2 linked regions of the Macaca mulatta genome follow. The protein of the gene in region 2 binds, or shares a complex with, the protein of the main gene of each other region. Links are inferred from orthologs where the notes say so. Each region holds a gene or a part of one and is shown on either strand. Other genes may lie near its edges. The genes, in order: GON7 and OSGEP.

Region 1 (4,462 bases), about 73 Mb from region 2:
CTTACTGCAACCTCTGCCTCCAGGGTTCAAGTGATTCCTGTCTCAGCCTCCCAAGTAGCTGGGATTACAGGCACGCGCTACCATGCCCGGCTAATTTTTTGTATTTTAGTAGAGACAGGGTTTCACCATGTTGGCCAAGATGGTCTCGATCTCCCGACCTCGTGATCTGCATGCCTTGGCCTCCCAAACTGCTGGGATTACAGGCATGAACCACTGTAGCCGGCCAAAATCCACTTTTAAAAGTGTACCGCTTAGTGGTTTTTAGTATATTCACTAGATTGTGCAACCATCACCACTCTCTAATCCTAGAACACTTTCATCACTCCAAAGAGAAATGAATTATGCCCATTAGCAGTCACTTTCCATTCCCCTCAGCCTTCGGCAACCACTAATCTACTTTTGTTCCCCCTTAATTTTTATTAGTGAGAGGGTCTTGCTATGTTGCCCAGGCTAGACTCAAACTCCCAGGTTCAAGTGATCCTCCTGTGTCAGCCTCTAGAGTAGCTGGGACTACAGGTGCCCACCACTGCACCCAGCTCACTAATCTCTCTCTATGGATTTGCCTATTCTGTACATTCATATAAACAAAATCATATAACATGTACCCTTCTGTGTCTGGCTCTCACTGTAGCATAATGTTTTCAAGGTTCATTCATGTTGTAGCACGTATTAATACTTCATTACCTTTTATTGCTAATAATATTCCATTGTATGGATACACCACATTTTGTTAATGCACTCATCAGTTGATGGATATTTGCATTATTTCTATTTTTTAAAATTATCATTATTTTTAGAGATGAAGCGATGGGGCCTCACTCTGTCCTCCAGGCTGGAGTGCAGTGGAACAATCAGCCCACTGCAGCTTCAAACTCGGGTTCATGTGATCCTCCCACCTCCTAAAGGTGCAACACCAAGCCCGGTCAATTGTTGTTTCCACATTTTAGTCACTATAAATGCTGCTGCTATGAACATTCATGTGTAAGTTTTTGTGTGAACATACTTTCCAGTTCTCTTGCGAGGACTACCAGTGGAACTGCTGGGTCATGTGGTAACTTCATGTCAACTTTTTGAGGAGCTACCAAACTCTTTTTCCCAGTGGTTACACTGTTTTACATTTCCACCAACAATGTACAAGATCTCCAATTTCTCCACATTCCAGCCAACACTTGTTATTGTTCTTTTTGATCATAGCCAACATCCATATTATCAAGATGTAATTCCCAAGATGGAAGGAAAGTACAGTTTAAGCTCTTCTTAGAGAATTGTAAATCCTAACTCTAATATCTATTCTTGGATTTTTCAGCTCAGGACAGTTAAAATGTACCTGCCTGGCCAGGTGCAGCAGCTCAGGCTTGTAATTCCAGCACTTTGGGAGGCCAAGGCAGGTGGATCACGAGGTTAGGAGTTCGAGACCAGCCCAGCCAACACAGTGAAACCCCGTCTCTACTGAAAATACAAAAACTAGCTGGGAGTGGTGGCGGGCGCCTGTAATCTCAGCTACTTGGGAGGCTGAGACAGGAGAATCACTTGAACCCGGGAAGCAGAGGTTGCAGTGAGCCGAGATTGTGCCACTGCACTCCAGCCTGGGCAACAGAGCTAGACTCCATTTCAAAAAAAAAAAAAAGTACCTGCCTATTTCTGCATTCGAGGCAATTTTTAAAAAATAATGCAGTTAAACTTCACGTTTCTACTTTCAAACTGCACCTACAAAACTGGAAAGGTAAGGGAGTCTCTAGGAGTTAATACATGTTAAAATTAAGTCTGTCCCACTCCTTGGAACCTGTTCCTACTCTGCGATAGATTGTACTCTTCCAAATATGTCTGTAGTTTCACACCTGATAAAACTCCTTTTTATTCAATACTCCAGCTCAAAAGTCTTATCCTCTTTGAAGCCTTCCGAGGGTCTCTGGGTTTGCAACACTTACAGAGGGCCATAGAACCACGTTCTTTTTTTTTTTTTTTTTTTTTTTTTTTTGAGACGGAGTCTCGCTCTGTAGTCCAGGCTGGAGTGCAGTGGCGCGATCTCGGCTCACTGCAACTTCCGCCTCCCGGGGTCAAGCGATTCTTCTGCCTCAGCCTCCCCAGTAGCTGGGATTACAGGTGCCCGCCACCACTCCCAGCTAATTTTTGTATTTTTAGTAGAGACAGGGTTTCACCATATTGGCCAGGCTGGTCTCGAACTCCTGACCTCGTGATCCGCTCGCCTCAGCCTCCCAAAGTGCTGGGATTACAGGCGTGAGCTACCAGCCTGGCCACTTTCACTTTTAATAAGAGTGTCTGCCTGTATAATCCCCTTGTGTTTCACAAGGGCAGGAACTGAGTCGCATTGACCTCATTCTTCCTCCAGGGCTCAGCTCAGGGTTTGGCAAATAGTAGTAGGCATTCGGCAAGTTTTTTAGTGAAATAAATGAAATAGCGATGAGTCGTGGAAATGTTTGAGTAGAAGCAGCCCAAATATAGTGATAAATGCCAACAATTTTTATTTTTTAAATTATCTTTGAAATAACAATGGAAACGGGGTCTCGATATGTTGCCCTGGCTGTTCTGGAACTCCTGACCTCAAGTGATCCTCCTGCCTCGCCCTCCCAAAGTGTTGGGATTACAGGAGTGAGCCCCACTTCGCCTGGCCCGCCAAAAATTTTTAGATGCAATTCTTCTTTCCTCGAGGCTCACTTTGTCCAAGTCTGCCACTCTACACGGGCTCCCCAAGCCAATTTCCCCTGGCTCCCGCCCCGTCCTCCTGTCGCTGCAGCACCGTCTCAGAGCTCACCGTCCAGGGCCTCGTCTGGAGCCGCCGCCACCCGGTGCTGCACTTCCGCCTGTACCAGGGGGCCGAATAATTCCGTTACCAGCTCCTTCATCTGGGCCACGCCAGACAATAGGCCCTGGAAAGGGTCGCCGTCACCCGGCGCCTCACAGGACACCCGCAGCTTCTGCGGCTTCCCTTCCTGCCCGACATACTCTCCCAGCAGCTCCATGGTGACCACTAAGCTTCCAGAACACGACACCGGGAAGCGCCACCCGGAGGCGGAAATCAGCCCGTGGCCGGCGCAGGCGGCAGAAGGGAGAGGAGTGACATCCGTTTGTCGGAAGTCGCTCCTCCCCCTTCCTTCGCTTTTTTTCCTTGTCATTGGTTCCTGGCACTCGGGCCCCGCCTCCTCCGGCTACGCCCCTCGTGGCCGCTTTTCCCGCCTCCGCCGGGGCCGAGCCGCGGTTCGGGTGACAGTTGAGGATGGCCGGAGCCGAGGGCTCCGCTGGGCGGCAGTCGGAGCTGGAGCCCGTGGTATCGTTGGTCGACGTCCTCGAGGAGGACGAGGAGCTGGAGAATGAGGCGTGTGCTGTCCTGGGCGGCAGCGACTCCGAGAAGTGCTCCTACTCGCAGGTGGGCACGCGGCCCGGGCCTTGTCTCCCGCGGCTCCCGCCGAACCTCCCCTTCCCGGCCCGGCTGTCCCTATTCCCGCCTGCCGCAGTCGTCTCCCCAGTGGTGGTCCGGGGCCGCCGTTAGTCTGCCGCTTCCTTACCCCAAGCCCACCCTTCCCTTTTATCCCCAACCTCCTGGGCCCCCTTCAGCCTGTGTCCAGCAGGGGCCCCCATCTCCCCTCTCTCTAACTCTGTCCGGCCAGCCAGGAAGGACCCTGGAGCAGCTGCTCTGTCCGTCCTCTCCAGCCTCGTCCTGGTGCACCACTGCTTTTCACGAAACCAGCCCGCGACCTCTCAGATCCAGACATCTTTGTCCCTGCTTTTCCCATCCTAAGATTATTTATTTATTTATTAGGGACCAAATGGGAGACGTCAGGTTAAAGAGATTTTCAAATCCATAGGGATTTGCGGTGAGCTCCTTGACAGCTAGTTCCTCTGCAATTTAGTTTGACAAGTGCTAGCTAGTACTTTTTCTTTCTTTTTTTGGCAAAATGGAGCAAGTACCCATGTCTGTCTGCAGTCTGCCCTCCTCCCCTGGAAATAGACCGGAAACAGAACAGCAAGTGGCTCTGGCAAGGGAGGGGAGAGAGGAGAAAAGGATCTATTTGGCATTTGGAAGACGTTGTGAGTGAGCAAGTGTTTGAGGGGGTGTGATGTGTTTAGTGACTCACCCTATACTTCGAGGCACAAAAATGGAAAAGGATGGGTAGGAAGAAGACTGACAAAGGATAAGAACTGGCAGGAAGAAGGGTTACCGAGGCAGAGGGGTGGATTGGAACACTGGGGAGATGAGGGGAGAGACTTGCATTCATTATGTGGTATGAACTGAGGTCATAATACCAGTTCTCGTTGTTGACCAAGTTTAGTTTACACTGCAAAGTGCTAGATTGTTGAATAAACCTGGTATCCAGACATAGCCCCAGGTATTTTAAAACCTTTGGTCACCACTAAAACAATTTTTCGCCTGCTTTCCTTAAAAAAAAAAAAAAAGTTCTAAGTCTGTATGTAAACTATTTTTGAAGTGTAGTTACCTTTATAA
Region 2 (4,442 bases):
TAAGAGTCCTTTCACTTTCCCCAAGCATCCTATCTTCCACATTTTCGGATACACTCTTTCCAGCTTCTATATAGGCTGTTCAACTTTCAGAAATTCTCTTCCTCTTACCCTACTCAGCCTTCATGTCTCAATGCAAGTGGTATCTACCCATACCCTTTGGTGATCTTTTTTTTTTTTTTTTTTTTTTTTTTGAGACGGAGTCTAGCTCTGTCACCCAGGCTAGAGTGGCCTGGTGCGATCTCGGCTCACTGCAAGCTCCACCTCCTGGGTTCATGCCATTCTCCTGCCTCAGCCTCCCAAGTAGCTGGGACTACAGGTGCCCACCACTGCACCCGGCTAATTTTTTGTACTTTCAGAAGAGACAGGGTTTCATTGTGGTCTCGATCTCCTGACCTCATGATCCACCCGCCTCGGCCTCCCAAAGTGCTGGAATTACAGGTGTGAGCCACCGCGCCCCGCCTTTTTTTCTTTCTTTTGAGACGGAGTCTTGTTCTGATGCCCAGGCTGGACTGCAGTGGCACGATCTCGGCTCACTGCAACCTCCGCCTCCTGAGTTCAAGCAATTCTTCTGCCTTAGCCTCCCAAACAGCTGGGACTACAGGCGACGCCACCACACCCAGCTAATTTTTGTATTTTTAGTAGAGACGGGGTTTCACCATATTGGCCAGGCTGGTCTCAAACTCCTGACCTCGTGATCCGTCTGCCCTGGCCTTCCAAAGTGCTGGGATTACAGGCCTGAGCCATCGCGCCCAGCCTGGTGACCTTCTTTCTCTGTGACCCTACAGAACTCTGTGCATGATGATGTCATTTATTTAACAATTACAACATAATAATTTTCTGTGGTTTGCTCAGCTTAATCATGAGTATCTCAAAGCAATAAGTATTTTATCTTTGTATTCCCAGTGCCCAAGTGCCTAGAGGAGTGAATGCTAAACATACATACCTATTTCTAATGAGTAATCTGTCACATCACCTGTTCAGGGAGGCTTTTCAGATACATGGAAATCAGTTGCCCCTCTCCTATGTATGCAAGTGTTTGAGGGGAGAGTAGGCAAGATACAATGGCTTATTAAAAGTTGTAATGTGTTTTGTACTTTCTTTTTTCTTTTTTATTTTTTTGAGACGGAGTTTCACTCTTGTTGCCCAGGCTGGAGTGCAATGGCATGATCTCGGCTCACCACAACCTCAGCCTCCCGAGTAGCTGGGTTAACAGGCATGTGCCACCACGCCCGGTTAATTTTTTATATTTTTTAGTGGAGACAGGGTTTCTCCATATTGGTCAGGCTGTTCTTGAACTCCGACCTCAGGTGATCCACCCCGCCTGGGCCTCCCTAAGTGCTGGGATTACAGGCGTGAGCCACCACACCCAGACGTGTTTGGTACTTTCATCTAATCTTCAACACCTAATGATACAGGTATTATTCCCATTTTAAAAACAAAGACTAGGCCCGGGCGGTGGCTCATGCCTGTAATTTTCACACTTTGGGAGGCTGGGGTGGGCGGATCATGTGAGGTCAGGAGTTCGAGACCAGCTTGGCCAACATGGTGAAGCCCCGCCTCTACTAAAAATACAAAAATTAGCTGGGTGTGGTAGCACACACCTGTCTGTAGTCCTAGCTACTCGGGAGGCTGGGGTAGAAGAATCTCTTGAATCTGGGAGGCAGAGCTTGCAGTAAGCCGAAACCGTGCCATTGCATTCCAGCCTGGGCAACAGAGCAAGACTGTCTCAAAAACAAATTAAAATAAAAAATAAAGACCAAATGTCCAAAACATAAATATTTAATGTGAATACAGCACAGCCAGCCAGTTCTCTGACATGTAAGCTGGGAGTCTTTCCACTCTCATCTCTCTACTCATCCTAGAATATTTCAAAAAATAAAAATTTTTAAAAAAGGAGTGTATATTCAGGGCAACTGGAATATATACTCCTGCTAAGCGTTTTTTAAACAGAATATTTCGAGTCCATCTCTATTACACTGTTTATCATGCTGTAGTATAAACATCTATTTATATGTCTGACTCCACAGCAGTATCATAACATCTATTTCTGAATGCTTAGCACATAAAATGAGCTCAATAAACGGTAAACGAACTCATCAGATCCACGTCCAAGTGCTTGTAACTCTTCTAGTCATCAGCCTTGTGACGTTAATAATATCACATAATTTCAATAAGACTCAGATCAAAAGCTGCACCTCACTAGTATTTAGGAAGATGGAAGGCTGATTTTCTGCGGGGAAGTGCGCCGAAAACTCTTAACTCCCCTACTCACCCACCTGTGCCCGGAGGCGTGACATAAGTCCGCCGCGGGTTCGCCAGCACCTTGCCATCCCGCACCACACCCACGCCAATCTTATTGGCGCTGCCTTCAAAACCCAGCACCGCCGGCATGGCGGAGCCTGGGAGAAAACGCCGACAGGACTCCTAGCAACGTCAGGAGCTGTGGAAGTCCTCACTAGTCTGCGCTGGGCCGCAGCTTTCCGGAGCGCAGAAGAAGCGGGCTAGCCTGCAGATAACAGTGGGAAAGACAGCGCAGAACTCCCGCGAGCGGAGACCCGCCAAGGCCCCTCCAAGGACCTGTCTTCCTAACTGCCAGGGACGCCGAGCCGACTCTGTGCTTTACAATCCTATCCGTTTTCCTATATCTTTCCCGTGGTCCAGCCCAACCTTCTCCACTTTTTTTTCCCTTTGCACAGCGTTAGACTCTTAAGTCAGAGTCAAACAATGTGCCGTGCGTCGGGCACAACGATAAACAGCCCGAACGAGGGTTGGGGCCCTAGGTCTCCTAGAGAATTAGTTGAGAGAGGCAAGGCCAAGCGACTTCGTCACGTGGTGTCAGACAGACCAATCACGCGCATTCTTCGGCCATGTGACGCGTGCCTCTGATCACGTGACCAGGTCCGCTACCCACGTGGGGGGCTCAGCGTGCATCCTTCTTTGTGCTCGGGTTAGGAGGAGCTAGGCTGCCATCGGACCGGTGCAGATACGGGGTTGCTCTTTTGCTCATAAGAGGGGCTTCGCTGGCAGTCTGAAGGGCAAGCTTGAGTCAGGACCCTTAATTAAGATCCTCAATTGGCTGGAGGGCAGATCTCGCGAGTAGGGTACAAGGCACTATGAAATGATCTAGTTACGTGGGTGAGGGGCTGAAGGGCCTATGATGCACGGAGGCGGGGAAAGGATTTAGAGATAACATGGTTTGAAAGGCGGGACCTGGTGCGGGGACGCTCTTGAGAGGAGTCTTCTCCCCAGGCTTAGCTGGTTTCATGATTTCTTTGCGTCTGTAGGCAACGCGGTAAAAATACTGCTTTGGTGGGCGACGCGGTACAGGTGCCGAAGAGCGTTCGTTACGGGAATGCCGAAGCGTGGGAAAAAGGGAGCGGTGGCAGAAGACGGGGATGAGCTCAAGACAGGTAAGAATGAAATGAGCCCCTCTTCCTAGAAGCTACGGCGGGGTTGTTTGTAATTCCCTTGATGAACGGTAAGTACCGGCCAACTCATTTTTGCAGGGGTTTGTGAAGACGCAGTAACCGCAGGCTTTCGTTGGGTCCATAGCTAACGCCGGATCGCGGTTGGAAACCACCCACTTTTTATCAATATATATTACTCATTTTATAGAGCCAGAGCCCAAGAAGAGTAAGACGCCCGCAAAGAAAAATGACAAGGAGGCAGCAGGAGAGGGCCCAGCCCTGTATGAGGACCCCCCCGATCAGAAAACCTCACCCAGTGGCAAACCTGCCACACTCAAGATCTGCTCTTGGAACGTGGATGGGCTTCGAGCCTGGATTAAGAAGAAAGGATTAGATGTGAGTGGTGTTTGAGGGGAAGACACATTCTTTAGTATTGAATGATCTTAGGGTTTAGTCATCCCTTTTCTCCGTATAGCCTTCAGGCTGTTTTTTCTCCTGCCTGCAGTTTTCGGTGGGGCTTCCCCAGTCTTGCCAGTTGTATTTCCTAAATGTCTGCTCCTTCACTTCCATTGCCATTTTCTTTTTTAATGTTCTCTCCTCTTCCCAGAATGTTGCAAAAACCTTTTACTATACTTCCTCCATTTTATCTTCAGCATGTCCTCCATTTCATTAATTATAGCTTAAAAATCTTAGCTTGCCTATAGAAAAAACACATTCATAGTATAGCACGTAAGACTTTACCTCTGTTTTCATTTATCTAGCTTCGAATTGTTTAAATATTATTTAACCTCGAACTGCTTGACTGTTTAACCTGTGCATATTTATGACTTGGCATATATTCAATAAATGTTCTGCTGAATTGATAATACATTTTCCACCTTTCTTTTACTTATAGTGGGTAAAGGAAGAAGCCCCAGATATACTGTGCCTTCAAGAGACCAAATGTTCAGAGAACAAACTACCAGCTGAACTTCAAGAGCTGCCTGGACTCTCTCATCAATACTGGTCCGCTCCTTCGGACAAGGAAGGATACAG

What was found.
Region 1: OSGEP (region 2) and GON7 share a complex: the UniProt entries of both Homo sapiens proteins name them as parts of the EKC/KEOPS complex. The link is inferred for Macaca mulatta from reciprocal best matches to the Homo sapiens genes OSGEP and GON7.

What each region holds. Positions count from the first base shown.
Region 1 is NC_133412.1:166,458,658-166,463,119, forward strand, and holds the start of GON7 (EKC/KEOPS complex subunit GON7), read right to left. Parts: upstream 3,002-4,462; 5' UTR 2,982-3,001; coding exon 2,774-2,981; intron 1-2,773. Other genes in the region: putative E3 ubiquitin-protein ligase UBR7, read left to right, coding at 3,236-3,385. UniProt on the Homo sapiens protein: Component of the EKC/KEOPS complex that is required for the formation of a threonylcarbamoyl group on adenosine at position 37 (t(6)A37) in tRNAs that read codons beginning with adenine.
Region 2 is NC_133412.1:93,253,220-93,257,661, forward strand, and holds the start of OSGEP (tRNA N6-adenosine threonylcarbamoyltransferase), read right to left. Parts: upstream 2,802-4,442; 5' UTR 2,392-2,801; coding exon 2,277-2,391; intron 1-2,276. Other genes in the region: APEX1 (DNA-(apurinic or apyrimidinic site) endonuclease), read left to right, coding at 3,353-3,410, 3,616-3,803, 4,303-4,442. UniProt on the Homo sapiens protein: Component of the EKC/KEOPS complex that is required for the formation of a threonylcarbamoyl group on adenosine at position 37 (t(6)A37) in tRNAs that read codons beginning with adenine.